Ovis aries: one gene and its partners. The protein of the gene in region 1 interacts with the protein of each later gene in a biochemical or structural test. Links are inferred from orthologs where the notes say so. Each region holds a gene or a part of one and is shown in the gene's direction. Other genes may lie near its edges.

The links. The genes of interacting proteins can lie anywhere in the genome.
Region 2: the proteins of HSP90AA1 (region 1) and PPID form a complex in vitro, tested with the Homo sapiens proteins (2 studies listed by BioGRID). The link is inferred for Ovis aries from reciprocal best matches to the Homo sapiens genes HSP90AA1 and PPID.
Region 3: the proteins of HSP90AA1 (region 1) and SGTA form a complex in vitro, tested with the Homo sapiens proteins (2 studies listed by BioGRID, with this or other methods). The link is inferred for Ovis aries from reciprocal best matches to the Homo sapiens genes HSP90AA1 and SGTA.
Region 4: the proteins of HSP90AA1 (region 1) and AHR form a complex in vitro, tested with the Homo sapiens proteins (2 studies listed by BioGRID). The link is inferred for Ovis aries from reciprocal best matches to the Homo sapiens genes HSP90AA1 and AHR.

What each region holds. Positions count from the first base shown.
Region 1 is NC_056071.1:64,574,006-64,578,228, reverse strand, and holds the start of HSP90AA1 (heat shock protein HSP 90-alpha), read left to right. Parts: upstream 1-1,423; 5' UTR 1,424-1,483; intron 1,484-1,939; coding exon 1,940-2,101; intron 2,102-2,191; coding exon 2,192-2,558; intron 2,559-2,861; coding exon 2,862-2,995; intron 2,996-3,286; coding exon 3,287-3,607; intron 3,608-3,775; coding exon 3,776-3,941; intron 3,942-4,115; coding exon 4,116-4,223. UniProt on the Homo sapiens protein: Molecular chaperone that promotes the maturation, structural maintenance and proper regulation of specific target proteins involved for instance in cell cycle control and signal transduction.
Region 2 is NC_056070.1:40,515,355-40,518,854, forward strand, and holds part of PPID (peptidyl-prolyl cis-trans isomerase D), read left to right. Parts: intron 1-1,542; coding exon 1,543-1,649; intron 1,650-3,500. UniProt on the Homo sapiens protein: PPIase that catalyzes the cis-trans isomerization of proline imidic peptide bonds in oligopeptides and may therefore assist protein folding. Proposed to act as a co-chaperone in HSP90 complexes such as in unligated steroid receptors heterocomplexes.
Region 3 is NC_056058.1:18,712,602-18,715,329, forward strand, and holds the end of SGTA (small glutamine-rich tetratricopeptide repeat-containing protein alpha), read left to right. Parts: intron 1-601; coding exon 602-691; intron 692-880; coding exon 881-995; 3' UTR 996-2,228; downstream 2,229-2,728. UniProt on the Homo sapiens protein: Co-chaperone that binds misfolded and hydrophobic patches-containing client proteins in the cytosol. Mediates their targeting to the endoplasmic reticulum but also regulates their sorting to the proteasome when targeting fails.
Region 4 is NC_056057.1:26,828,841-26,831,971, forward strand, and holds the end of AHR (aryl hydrocarbon receptor), read left to right. Parts: exon of another isoform or gene 1-542; coding exon 543-677; 3' UTR 678-2,631; downstream 2,632-3,131. UniProt on the Homo sapiens protein: Ligand-activated transcription factor that enables cells to adapt to changing conditions by sensing compounds from the environment, diet, microbiome and cellular metabolism, and which plays important roles in development, immunity and cancer.

The sequences.
Region 1 (4,223 bases):
AAAATAAGTAAAAAGAGATGGGCCTTTTAACAAAATCATGATGCGTGCGTGGGCTGGGTCAGCATGTATGATCACCAAGTCCCAGAATTCCAGACTAGGGCCTGCAGTGCCTTGAAAGATGCAGTTTTAAAACAAACCCAAAGTAGGTAACAGGGAAGCCACCGGCGCAGACGGTAAAGAATCCTCTTGCAATGCAGGAGGCCTGGGTTCGAGAAGATCCCCTGGAGGAGGGCATGGCAACCTACTCCAGTATTCGTCCCTGGAGAATCCCCCTGGACAGAGGAGCCTGGCGGGCTACCGTCGCAGAGTTGGACACGACTGAGCGACTAAGCACAGCACAAAGTAGGTACAAAGGCTCAAAGAACTAAGCAAAGGCCGGGAGAATTCGGGACTGTGTCCCCTTTTAACATTCCCCGCGCCACCGCTCCCCCTGCCTTGGGCGCAATCGGGCCTAAGGACAGGACGAGTCCCCATACTGGAGTGGCGGGGGAATGGTGGTTTGTTCCAGGGCCCACCTCTGGTTCAGAACCAGCCGAACAGACCCACGAGGCTCTGGAGTTCCCCTCTGCTCCCCCTGCACACACGCTGGTCACCCCTCGCTCACAGACCTCTGCGCCCCACAACCAGGCTGGGGCTCTGAGCCTCCGCGTTAACGAGGCTCTGGCAGGCACTTGTTGCCCGAATTCCTAGGGCCCTGAACCTATAACCGCTGCCCCTGGCAGAGATGCGCCCTAGACCCTCTAATCGCTGCCCGGACCCCCCCAAACCCCTAACCATGGACCTGAGCCTGCGATCAATGCCCCAAGCATATACCTGTGACACGGGACTGGACCCCTCACCCCGGCTTTGATCCCCTAAGCGCGGCCTCAAGGCTCGAAACCTAGCCCCAGGCCCATAGTCGGGGGGTCCCGATGCTGGGGGGATCCGGAGCGCACACTATCTGGGGACACGCTTTAACCACCGAGAGTTTACTTTTCTGGACTTCCCAGAGCTGCTGGCACGGGCGATCAGCCCCCGGGGCCTGGACAGAGGTTTGGGTCGGGGGAGCGTTAGGCCGACGCGCGCCAAGCGGGGTTGGCGGGCCAGCGGTGTGAGGCCGGCGGGGCGCAGAACGCCGCGCGCCGGGGCAGGTAGGGCTGGGAACGGCGGCACCGGAAGGCGCGAGACCCGCCGGAACGCTCCGGATAGCGCAGGCGCACTGCGGCGGGCGCGGGCACGCTTGGCACGCAGGCGCCCTGAGGCGTGGGAGCGCGCGGCGCGGCCCCGAGGAGGGGGCGGGCGGCCTCCAGTGCGCAGGCGCAGGCGCGCGGCCGCTCCGGCGGTTGGGGAGGGTTCTTCCGGAAGGTTCGGGAGGCTTCTGGAAAAGGCGCCGCGCGCTGGGCGGGCCCGCCTCTATATAAGGGCGGCGCGGGGGCGGCGCGCCAGTTGCCTCTGCGTCCCGGTGCTGCGTCGCTGCGGAGCCCGTGCTAGTCCTTCAGCCAAGGTGAGGGGAGGCGGTTGTAGGGGGACGCGGGGATCCACGGGCGGGTGGGCGGCGGCGAGGGCAGCCCCCGGAGCCCCCTGAGGCCGGCGGGCCCGGGGCGGCCGTGATTAACCCGGTAGGCCTCGGGCCTGCGGCGGTCTCCCGTCCCCTCCCCCCCGCCCTCCCCCCGCCGTCGGGAGCGAGTGGGCCCCGGGGCTCCGGGGTCGTGCGGGATGGTGAGGGCCGGGGTCTGCGGCCCCGGAGGGGGGTCCCCGGGCCGCGGGTGGGGGCGCCCGGGCCGAGCGGCGGCCGTGCGGCCGGCGTGGGCGGCGGCGGCAGCGGCGGCGCCCGGCCCCCGGAATGAGGTCATCCTTTGTCAGCCGGCGCCTCCCGCGCGCCCCGGTCTCGGGAGCGGGAGCGAGACGCGGCGGGGAGGGGTCCGGCCGGTGGCCTCACGGGCTCCGCGTTCCCCGGCAGATGCCCGAGGAGACCCAGGCCCAGGACCAGCCGATGGAGGAGGAGGAGGTGGAGACGTTCGCCTTCCAGGCGGAAATTGCCCAGTTGATGTCATTGATCATCAACACTTTCTACTCGAATAAAGAGATTTTCCTGAGGGAGCTGATTTCAAACTCGTCAGACGTAAGTCTCATTGCGGAGTGGGGTGTTTGTGTGAAAGGGCACTGTTTTAGGGGGGAAGTTGCGTGTCATCACGTGTCTTTTTTTAAATAGGCCCTGGACAAGATCAGGTATGAGAGCTTGACCGATCCCAGTAAATTAGACTCGGGGAAAGAGCTGCACATTAATCTCATACCGAACAAGCAAGATCGAACCCTCACCATCGTGGACACCGGCATTGGGATGACCAAGGCCGATTTGATTAATAATCTGGGCACCATCGCCAAGTCTGGGACCAAAGCGTTCATGGAGGCTTTGCAGGCTGGCGCTGATATCTCCATGATTGGCCAGTTTGGTGTCGGGTTTTATTCAGCCTATTTGGTGGCTGAGAAAGTGACCGTCATCACCAAACATAACGATGATGAGCAGTATGCCTGGGAGTCTTCTGCAGGAGGGTCCTTCACAGTGAGGACTGACACAGGTAGGCACCCGAGAACAGGGTGGGGTGCTTTAGGCACTGGAGCCCCAAAGAAGGGGTGAAGTTTGTGTGTAGCGTTTAAAAACCTGTTTGCCTGGAGGGTGATAGCATGCACATGCACTTGTGGTTGGTTATCTTGGGCAAGGCCCTTAACTGCCCTGAGACTCTGCCCAGTTGTAGTAACCACAAGCTTCTGCTTCATAGACTTTTCGGATAACTGTCCTAGAGAGCGAAATAGTATTTTTTTTTGCCTTGATCAGGCCATTGTGATTGAAATTGGCCTCAATCTCTGGACTTCCTTTTCAGGAGAACCGATGGGGCGTGGAACAAAGGTTATTCTGCATCTGAAAGAAGACCAGACTGAGTACCTGGAGGAGCGGAGAATAAAGGAGATTGTGAAGAAGCATTCTCAGTTCATTGGCTATCCCATCACTCTTTTTGTGAGTTTCCATGTATCCTGTATATGTAGGTTACTAAAGTGATTGAACTGAAATCCTGTTAGTCAGTCCTTCGTGCTTTTTATAAGAGATCCAAACTTGCACTAATTTCCTGGGCTGGTGGGTCGACTCCTGTCAAGGTTCCCAGGGCTGTTAATAGATCCTTCAGAAATGGGTGAGTAGCTTTCTGGCTACTAGTGTTTCTCAGGTGGTATTGGTGTAAGTGCTGCAGTCTCCTTTAGCCTTTTTCCCCCAGTTTTGTGGAGAGGTGACGTGATTTGTCCTCCTTTGAAGGTGGAAAAGGAACGTGATAAAGAAGTTAGCGATGATGAAGCAGAAGAGAAGGAAGACAAAGAGGAAGAGAAGGAGAAAGAAGAAAAGGAGTCTGATGACAAGCCCGAGATAGAAGACGTTGGCTCAGATGAAGAGGAGGAAGAGAAGAAGGATGGGGACAAGAAGAAGAAGAAGAAGATCAAGGAGAAGTACATCGATCAAGAAGAGCTGAACAAGACAAAGCCTATCTGGACCAGAAACCCTGATGACATCACTAACGAGGAGTATGGAGAGTTCTACAAGAGCCTGACCAACGACTGGGAGGACCACTTGGCGGTCAAGGTGAGTGACTGCCAAGTGCTTCCTTCTCTGCAGATGTTGGAGGCTGCATTCTGTTCCTCGATGCCCCATGCTTTGCCCAGAGTCATTGTTAGGTAACTCTGGTATACGTGACATTTTTTATTGCTTCAAGTTATTTGCCCTGTGTTAATCTTGATTGTTTTGTTATAGCATTTTTCAGTTGAAGGACAGTTGGAATTCAGAGCCCTTCTTTTTGTCCCAAGACGAGCTCCTTTTGACCTGTTTGAAAACAGAAAGAAGAAGAACAACATTAAGCTGTATGTTCGCAGAGTTTTCATCATGGATAACTGTGAGGAGCTAATCCCTGAATACCTGAGTAAGTATAGTCTGATAGAAGAAACTGTCACTGTTACTAGTCTAAGAGATTAATCCTGTCAGCTCCTGGTTTTTAAACTAAACATGGGGAAAATCATTCATCTTTGGTTTTTTGGGTTTACGGATTTGTCAGTTTTTGTCTTTGGAGTGACTGGCTGCATTTGGTCTGTTTCAGATTTCATTAGAGGTGTGGTGGATTCTGAGGATCTTCCTCTGAACATTTCCCGTGAGATGTTGCAACAGAGCAAAATTTTGAAAGTTATCAGGAAGAATTTGGTCAAAA
Region 2 (3,500 bases), on another chromosome or scaffold:
CTGTCCATGGAATATTCCAAGCAAGAATACTGGAGTGGGTTGCCATTTCCTTCTGCAGGGGATCTTTCCAACCCAGGAATTGAACCTCCATCTCCTGTGTTTCCTCCTTGGCAGGTGGATTCTTTACCACTAGCGCCACTTGGGAAGTCCCAAATATAAGCATACCAGGGAGATACTGCAGGTTTGGTTCCAGACTACTGCAATAAAGTGAATGTTGTAAGAGAGCAAGTTACAAAGTTCGGGTTTCCCAGTGCATAGGAAAGTTATATGTGCAGGATACTATAGTCTGTTAAAGTGCACAGTAGCATTGTATCTGGAGAAAAATACATATCTTAATCTAATACTTTATTGCTAAAAAAAATGCCAGAACAATTATAGTAGTAACATCAAAAATCACTGGTCACAGATCACTGTAGCAAATAATAATGAAAAAGTTAGAAATACTGTAAGAATTACCAAAATGTGACAGAGACATGAAGTGAGCACATGCTGTTGGAAAAATGGCACTGATGGACTTGCTGATGCAGAATTGCTACAGACCTTCAAGTTAAAAAACAAAACCCACAGTATCTGCAAAGCACAGTAAATCAAGGAGTTGCCTGTATTCTAAAAAAGTGTCTGTGGACAAGAGTTCACATTGCAAACCTGAGACTGCTGTCATAAATCTACTTGCAAGGGTGGAATTGCCTGAAGTCAGAGCACTTTGCCATTCTCTGAATCGTAAGGTGGCTAGCTCTGCTGAGACTGTTCAGTTTGATTTATGCTGAACAGTTGCTTTCCTTTTGAGGATGTGGTGGAATTTTGGTATCTGCTAGGCAGAGAGTGCCTTCATGATGAGCCCCTGTAGAAACCTTGGGTGCTGAGTTCCTCAAGGGCTTTCCTGGGGAGCAACATTGTACACGTGTTGCTGCATTTTCTTGGCTGGGGGAAGAAGGCACCCTGTGACCTTTCCCATCAGGAAACACATGGGTTCTTCCAGGCTCTGCCGTATCTTTTCCCTTTATCGTCCATCTGTGTCTCCTGACTACATGAGTGTCATATAAGCAGATACAGAGTCCTGGGGAATCTGAATGTGGTGGCAGTGTTAAGTAATAACGTTTGCAGAAGTAATTCCAATACAGTGTAACAGGCCTCTTGGGAATAATTGGTTTATTCAGTAGGCATTTTTGAGTAACCATTATGTGCCCAGCCATGCACATGGTTACCCGGAAGAAAAACGGTGTTGCTGTTCTTAACTGTTTGCTAGAAGAGACAGATTGTTATGATCCATATTATAAAAGAAAGGTAGAGTCAAGGTACTATGGGAGAAAAATTAGTAGATCCAGTCTTGAGGTTTGACAGTGTTGTAGGGGAGGTGCCATACGAACTAATTCTCTGAGTGTTAGTGGGGATTTGGATTGGGAAAAGGCTTTTGAAGAGCCTGGAGTTGTGCGTGTAGGTGGAGAGAGCAGGAGAGAAGCTGTCTTTATTGTCACACATTCGTTAACATTGCTGTAGTCATCTGTACTGTAGTTTCTAATGCTGGTTTTCCTTTTTTTTCAGTTATTAAGAAATTTATGATTCAGGGTGGAGACTTCTCAAATCAGAATGGGACAGGTGGAGAAAGCATTTATGGTGAAAAATTTGAAGATGAAAATTTCCATTATAAGGTAAAGTAGACAAAAATGTGTGTTGCTAACAATAAAGGTTGTCATGTGTCTGGGATTCTTGTCAAGTTAGGATAAATGCCTCAGATGTGCTTAGATCTCCTTTATTTGTGAAAGGTATCATATTTATAAATATACATCTTTAATATGAAAAAAAACCTCATCTGGCAATGATTTTATTGGCAAAAATACAACAACTATTTAGTGTGATTCAGGTTTATACACTGCAGTAAAGCCAGTGAGTTCATGGGTGGCCAGCATATGGCAAAATTGTTTCCAGGAAAAATGTTCCTATTAGAGGGATGGTAAGTTGTGCATCTTTATGCCTAAATTTGAAGAGCAGCAAAACCATGGCTAATGTCCGGGGTGTCAGGGCATTTGCAGACTAGCGGATCTGGTTAATGTCCAGGCTCCTAAGGGACCTTAGTGACGCCTATGCCTGCTTAATTTCAGTGACCCTGGGGTCACGGTCAGGGTGTGGTATCATTCAGTCATGACAGTGGACATCTAAGAGCAAAAGTAAACATGGGTTTTTGGAAATGGGAACAGGAGTAAGGTGTTTAGGATCATTTGAGAATAAATGTCATCAGTGTTTTAAGCAGTTTATTTCCTGTAGCGAATACAGTCACTGGCACCAAAGAGTTTATAAAAAGGAAAGACCTTCATGATGAGGAATAAAATCTTGCCAAAAAGGCAAGATTAAGACATACAGGGCAACTGTATAATGTAACTGAATAATGTAATAAAATGCAAGTAAATGCCTAGTTGACCAAGACCTGTGTATACTACAGGAGAAAGGTATGATTCCTATGGTCTGGATTACTAGGGAAGACATCAAGAGGGAAGGGGTGCATGAACTAGGCAGACTGGACCTCTCCAGGTGGCTGAGATTTGGTTAGAAGGAACTAAAATACAGATGCCTTTGAGGGAGGGATATGAGTGAGGAAGGAAGAAGGCACGAGGAGGCTGAGGAAATAAAGTTGTTAATATTTAATATTGTGGGGAAAGCACCAGACTTTTGGAAGGGAGAAAGAAAGTACCAGAAGGATGAAAACTCAGCTTATGTGATGGAAAAGTTGATCAAAAGAAAGGGGGTAGACTTCCCTCGTGGTGTAGTGGATAAGAATCCGCCTGCCAATGCAGGAGACACAGGTTTGATCCCTGACGCGGGAAGACCCCACATGCCACAGAGCGAATAAGCCCACACGCCCCAGCTCCTGAGCCCCTGTGCTGCAGCGAGTGAAGCCGCCACCAGGAGGTGCCTGCGCACCTCAATAGAACGGCCCACTCGCCACAAGAGAAGACCTGCACAAAAGCAACGAAGACCCAGTGCAACCAAAATAAAAATAAGATTTTAGAAAAAGAGGGGCTGTTGCATGGACACATGATTCTTCTGCACACTTGGTGGTCTTGAGAGCTGGATTAGATTTGGGTTTGGGGTAAAAGGCATTTCAGGTGGGAGGGCTAACATGAGTGTTACATGGGTGGAGAGTAGGAAAGGGCCTAACTTTGCTGACGTGTGAAGAGATAATCATCATGTAGGCCCGAAAGTGGGAACACTGTTGAGTGCCTTTCAGAAAAAATGTGCCTCAGTCATAAGAAAGGGTGAAGCAGAATTACTAGACTTCCTCCTGTGGCATCTTCATCTTGATGAAGTCCAAGCATGCTCTCAGTGTGATCGATTTAGGAGCACCACCCCTGCCCCCACTGTTTCATCTTAATTTAGTTTCATAAGCTCTCCTTAAAGTTTAAAAAGTGGTTAAGTACTCTCATGTTTTGTGAATTAAAGTCACACTTGATAATGAAGTAAAATCACTCTACATTATGTGCTCTTAAGTGGTATTCCAGCGGCCC
Region 3 (2,728 bases), on another chromosome or scaffold:
TTAGTTCCCCAGCAGGGATTGAACCTACAAATCCTGGATTGCAAGGCAAATTCTTAACTACTGGACCACTAGGGAAGTCCTCTCTTCTTTGGACCTTGTGGTTAAAAATTATTGTGGTAAAAGATGTATACAGTTTCCTGTTTTAGCCATTTTAAGGTCCGTAGTCCCATGGCATTTAGTACGCTTATAATGTCCTGTAGTTGGTCACTACAATCTAATTCCAGAACGTCCATCACCCCAAAATGAAGCCCCACCCCCAATATCGTTGTCTCCCAGCTCCTGACTACCAGTCACCCGTCTGTGGATCGGCCTGACGGTGTTTCCACATCAGTGGACTCAGAAATTCTACGGTCTTATGTGTCACTGGCATGCCCCGGTGTCCCTGGGGGGCAGCACTGCCCCACTGAGAATCACTGTTTTTAAGTCAAAAATGGATGTTCCTGGGAAAGTTGGTGAAATTGACAGGTTACAGTCAGAAGGGTGGGCTCAGGGGGACTTGGGTCCCAGGTAATGTCTCTTGCCAGCAGGGGGGAAGGGTCAAGCAGGGCCGCAGCGGGAAAAGGGGGCTGAGCCGTCTTCAAGTCCAGGACTCTCTTTGCAGCATGTCCGGCATGATTTCAGGCGGCCACAACCCCCTGGGGACTCCCGGCACCAGCCCCTCGCAGAATGACCTGGCCAGTCTCATCCAGGCGTGAGTAGACCTGCCAGGTGGGGCTCCTGGGTGGGGCAGGGTCCAAGGTCCCCGGGTGCTCTGTGGGGCCTCATCCTCCAGGGAGTGGTCCCTCTGCCCTCCAGGGGCACGTCAGGTAGGGAGAGGCGGCTGGGTGGGTGCCTTGGACCTGGCTGAGCCCAGGCACGCCTCCCCTGCCCCCACCTGCAGGGGCCAGCAGTTCGCTCAGCAGATGCAGCAACAGAACCCAGAGTTGATAGAGCAGCTCCGCAGTCAGATCAGGAGTCGGACTCCCAGTGCCAGCAATGATGACCAACAGGAGTGACCGCCCCGTGAGTCCCCGGAGCTGGGGGGCACCTTGGGCCCTCAGGTCTCTTGCCGGGTGGGCCCACTCAGGTGTTTCTCCCTCCAGCCTGCCCAGCGCCATCGGGTCCTTCCCGGCCTACAGGAAGCCTTCTTGACCTTTTCCGTCTCCTCCCATTGGATCGCCCACGAGAGAAAAAGAACTTGGACCTGCATGTTAAGCCGGATTTTTATGATGTTTACTTTTACTTCCTCCCCTCCCTCCCTTTTTATACTCTCTCACGGCCCCCAGATCCTTCTTGAAACAGAGCCAGCAAGCTGTGAGTGCAGACCAGCACCCGTCTCCCTCCTGGCCCCCTGCCCTGAAGACCTGGTCACTAAAGTATTTTCTAGAACATTCTGAGGTGGGGGTGGTCTTCTCACCGCTCTCCGAGAAGTGGCCTGTGGGATGCCGTGGCCCCGAAGCCCCTTCTTCAGCCCCCGCCTGCCTTCCCAGTCTGTCTGCAGGGCCTCCCAGCCCCCGAGAAGCCGCTTTCTGAGTTGACCGTGGCCTCCCTGGCCACCCCTGCTCAAGCGAGCTCACTGCCAGCCAGCCCGGCCCAGCAGACCTGGGTTCTCAGACAAGGAACTCCAGTTGCAAGTGCCCCAGAGGCAGTTTCTGCGCCCAGCGGGGGCCGAAGCAGACGTCTTGGGTGCACACAACCCATTTCTGGGACTTAAATTCCAGTCCAGTGCTCGGATGGACTCGGGTCTGATCGCCATGCTTTTCCCAGTGCTTACAATTGACAGACTGTGAGGGGCCTTCTCATGACCTTTGAGCTGGCTCCTGAGCCTGTCGCAGCCTGGCTGTGTATCCCAGCCACTGCCTTCTGTCCACAGGTGGTGGTCCTGCTGGCCTGGCTTGCCTGCATCCTCAGCGGGCTCTCCTCCTGCTTGGGGGTCAGGGCTATGGGGGTCCCTGATGACCACCTGCCTGGGCCTGAGATCACCGGGCAGCCACTGTGGATGTCCCTGCAGCCCAGGGCAGGGTGGAGAGGGTCCCTGGCACCGCAGCTCGGGCCACAGTGTTGGTGATGAGATCGCTGGAGGCTCCCTGATGGTGTCGGGTCCTGTGGGAGGTGACACCGTACCAGTACCGTGTGTGTAGGTAACTCGTAGAGACAGCCCCACACACATCCCACAAGGCGTCCTAACTCATGAGTGCTACCATGATGACGAGATAACGTGTGGGGAATAAATAGACATCGTGATCTCTGCTGGCCTCCATGTGGACCTCTCAGTGCCACTCTGCCCCCACCCCCTCACCTCCCAGAGCTTCCTGGAACCCCCAGTGTGGACCCTGCATGGGTCACCCTGAACCATTGACCCAGGTTGTGTGTGCCTTCCCTGTCACCTTGAAGACAATCTCACAAATTTGGTGGCCTTTAACTACACACAGTGTCTCCATCCTGGAGGCCAGAAGTCAGACTGGGGACCCCCTTGGGCTAAATCCAGGTGTGGATGGGTCTGGCTCACTCCCTGTCCAGAGGCTGACGTGTGGTGTAGGTGCAGGGGGTGTCAGGCCTGCACTCGACTCCCCCGGGTCGCTGGGCTGTGGGAATGCTTTGGGGCCATACCACTTTCTTTGGCCGTGACCTCTGTGGCTTCCAGTGGGTGTACTCAGCCTCTGGTGACCTTGAGCTGCTCTGTCCTGCTGAGGACCTCCCCATGTTCCCTGCCACTTGGATGGTGGCCAGTAGGTCACAAAGGAAGTTC
Region 4 (3,131 bases), on another chromosome or scaffold:
ATGAATAAAATTGGTTATAGAAATCATACCCATGGTATATAGTATATAAGGCATATTAAGAAACCTCTCGCAAATCATAACTTGCTGCTTTTCAGAAAGTTCTGGGTTATCTGTAGTCCAATGTGGTGATCTTGAATGTAGTTAGTTTATTGGTACCTAAAACTTACTGAGATACAATCTGGTCAAAGCAGACTTATGACGGAGAATAGTACCTGTGGTTCGTGGCTAGTACCTTCTGATCCAGTGGCTCCTGCCCAAACCAAAGGCATTTCATTGATCAGATAGTCAATGGATCGCCACATCTAAAGTGAGACAATGATATCACTCACCTATACTATCTAATGGAGAAACTGAAAGATTCTAAGTGCAACTAATACATGTGTTCAATACAACTTCACTGAATGAGTTAAAATAGCAGTAAAGGAGTTTGAAGTTTAACAAGAACAACTTGGAGGATAAAGATTTTAGAACTACATTTCACATACCTGATGGTTTAATATATATGAAGGATCTGTTCTAATAAGTTGTGTTGCTGTTTGCAGTTTCAGAACGGAGCAATTTTAAATGAAACGTATCCAGCTGAATTAAACAGCATGAGTAACACTCAGCCTGCCACCCATCTTCACCCATCAGAAGCCAGAACTTACCCTGATTTGACATCCGGTGGATTCCTGTAATTCCAAGCCCACTCCTCACCTTGGTTTTTGAGTAGTTTGTGAAGCATCACAGAGTAATAAGACTGTCCTTGTTGGATGTCAGCAAGTTCACATGGAGGCATTGATGTACGTGTTATTTTCACTGTTATAAAAACATTAAAATCTGGTTTGTAATAAGAGGAGTTATTCACCTATACTACCATCATTAGAATAGTATGCTGTCACAGAGGAGTGAAATACCATCTACAGTTTACAGTATTCTGAAATAATACCACAGAATATACAGAACCTTTTCAGGGAGATATTTTGACAGTTTTAAATATGAAAATTTTTTCTCTGGTGGAATTACTTCCATCAGATTGAAATAAAATACTTTGTGTTTTGAACTTGTAGATTATTAGTGTACCAAATATGAACTATTTCCTTTTACTCTTAGCTTCTGCTTTTATCTCAGAGGTTAAAACAAATGGTTTGGTGCTTGTATAAAAAGATAATCTCAGTATGCTCCTCCCTCCTTGGTAATGTAAGTGCCTCACACTTTTTTCTACCTATAACACTGTAGGGAGTATATTTTATGTAAAATATATATTTACATAAAATATACTTTTTCTTTTTAAAATTAATAACATTCTGCACACAAATATTATTGGTATTTCTTAAATTCAGTCATTTTTATTAATCTAGGCATGTTTCAACTGCACTACTCACCCACTTTCTTCAGGTAAAGAGCAAATAATGGTTGAAAAGAGAAATATTTATTACTTACTCTAGTTGTTTCTAGATTTTAATGTTGCCGTGTGCCTTACGTTGAAAAATTTTGGAAGTGGAAATATCTTCCTAAATTTTTTTTTAGTTATTGTAAGAGAGCAGCACTAAAATTTCAAGAGTTTTCAGAAGTAAGAGATATATCACCATTTAGCTTTACTAAAATCTCCACCTTAATAGTTGAATGTTGCCCTGTAAAGAATCTGCTGTTAAATGCAACCCTGAGTATTAACTTAAAATGAAGAGAAGCAGCTTTATTTTTAGCTCTTTAATAAGTACAGCACCCATTTCAATATGTATAAATTCTTTAAAAACTGTTTTAGACCTGTAATCCTTTAAAATGTAATATGTTGACTTTATAAATTTCACTTCTTAGTACAGTGGAAACTATTTGTTTTTCTCATATTTGAGGAGTGTTAAGATTAAATATAGCAATGTTTGGTGCAAAGTATTGGTATAAGTGAAAAAATGGTGCATTGTATAGTTTATAATGAACAATGATGTTTGTAAAATGTTTTCAGTCTTTCATTGAAAAATAGTGCATACCTTATATATGCACATAAATAACTTGTTTGGGTCTTAACATATTTTATCACTGTGTCTTTTTAAGTAGCAAATTAATCAGACCACTAATAACTTTACCATCCTTGGGTGACTTTAAAGTGCCACCGTCTGACTTTCTTTTACTTAAATAGGACAGCTGAAAGGCATAGACATGTTTTGCATGTATTATATAAAAACACAATGAAATCCCTAACTGAAATATAGTATTAAAATACTATACTTTTCTTTTTTTAGTAAATCAATGTATATAAAAGTGACTTCAGACACAATAGCTAAGTCAGTTTTATGCATTTTCCAACAGAATTTTGAACCTGGACAATGAATTCAAGTGTTGAAAAAAATAAATTTGTCTAAAACATTTCATAATTTGTTTGTAGCAGGAGGAATCACTAAAGATTTAGACCAGATTAATATTCCACTTTTACATTGAAATCTTTTATGAAAAGTCTTCATCTAAATAATTTTTGTTAGTGTCTTCCACATGTTACTGGATGAACTGTGTAGTGGGGGAAAAACAGGCTTCTAAACTGTATGTGAATATGTTGACGATCAAGTATACACTTAAAAAACTTAAAGCAATATTGTATATTTTTATCTATATAAAGTAACTAAAATTTACCTAATAATAAAATCACATTAAACCCAATACACCTTTGTCTGTATTGTTAAGTGCCAAAGGAAGAATCTCTGTGTAATGCTATTTTGAGGGATTTATTTTTTGATGACATGCACTTCTAAGGACGTGGCTGTTCCTACTCTGATCTTTTCCCTATGCCAGGTTGTTCCTCCAGTACCTGAAGACTTACCAGTGTTCCGGTGTATTACACATAGCTTTTAATCATTACTCTGCACAATCTAGTGTTTTTCAGTGTTACTAAATTTTAGGTAAATGTTTTCATGGGTGTTTTCTCCTTCGAGATGTTACTGCTTACATATGCCATGCATACATTTTTGTTTAAAATATGATTTATAATATCCTTATCAAAAAATTGTATACGATAATTTATGGTAATAAAATAATCACCAAGTATGAATAGTATGTTTTAATGCAAATTATTTTTGGTCCACATAAAGGAAATGAGCACTTATAGTATAGTATTGTAATTATGTCAGATGAAGGCAACCTATAATATTTAAAGATAGGTT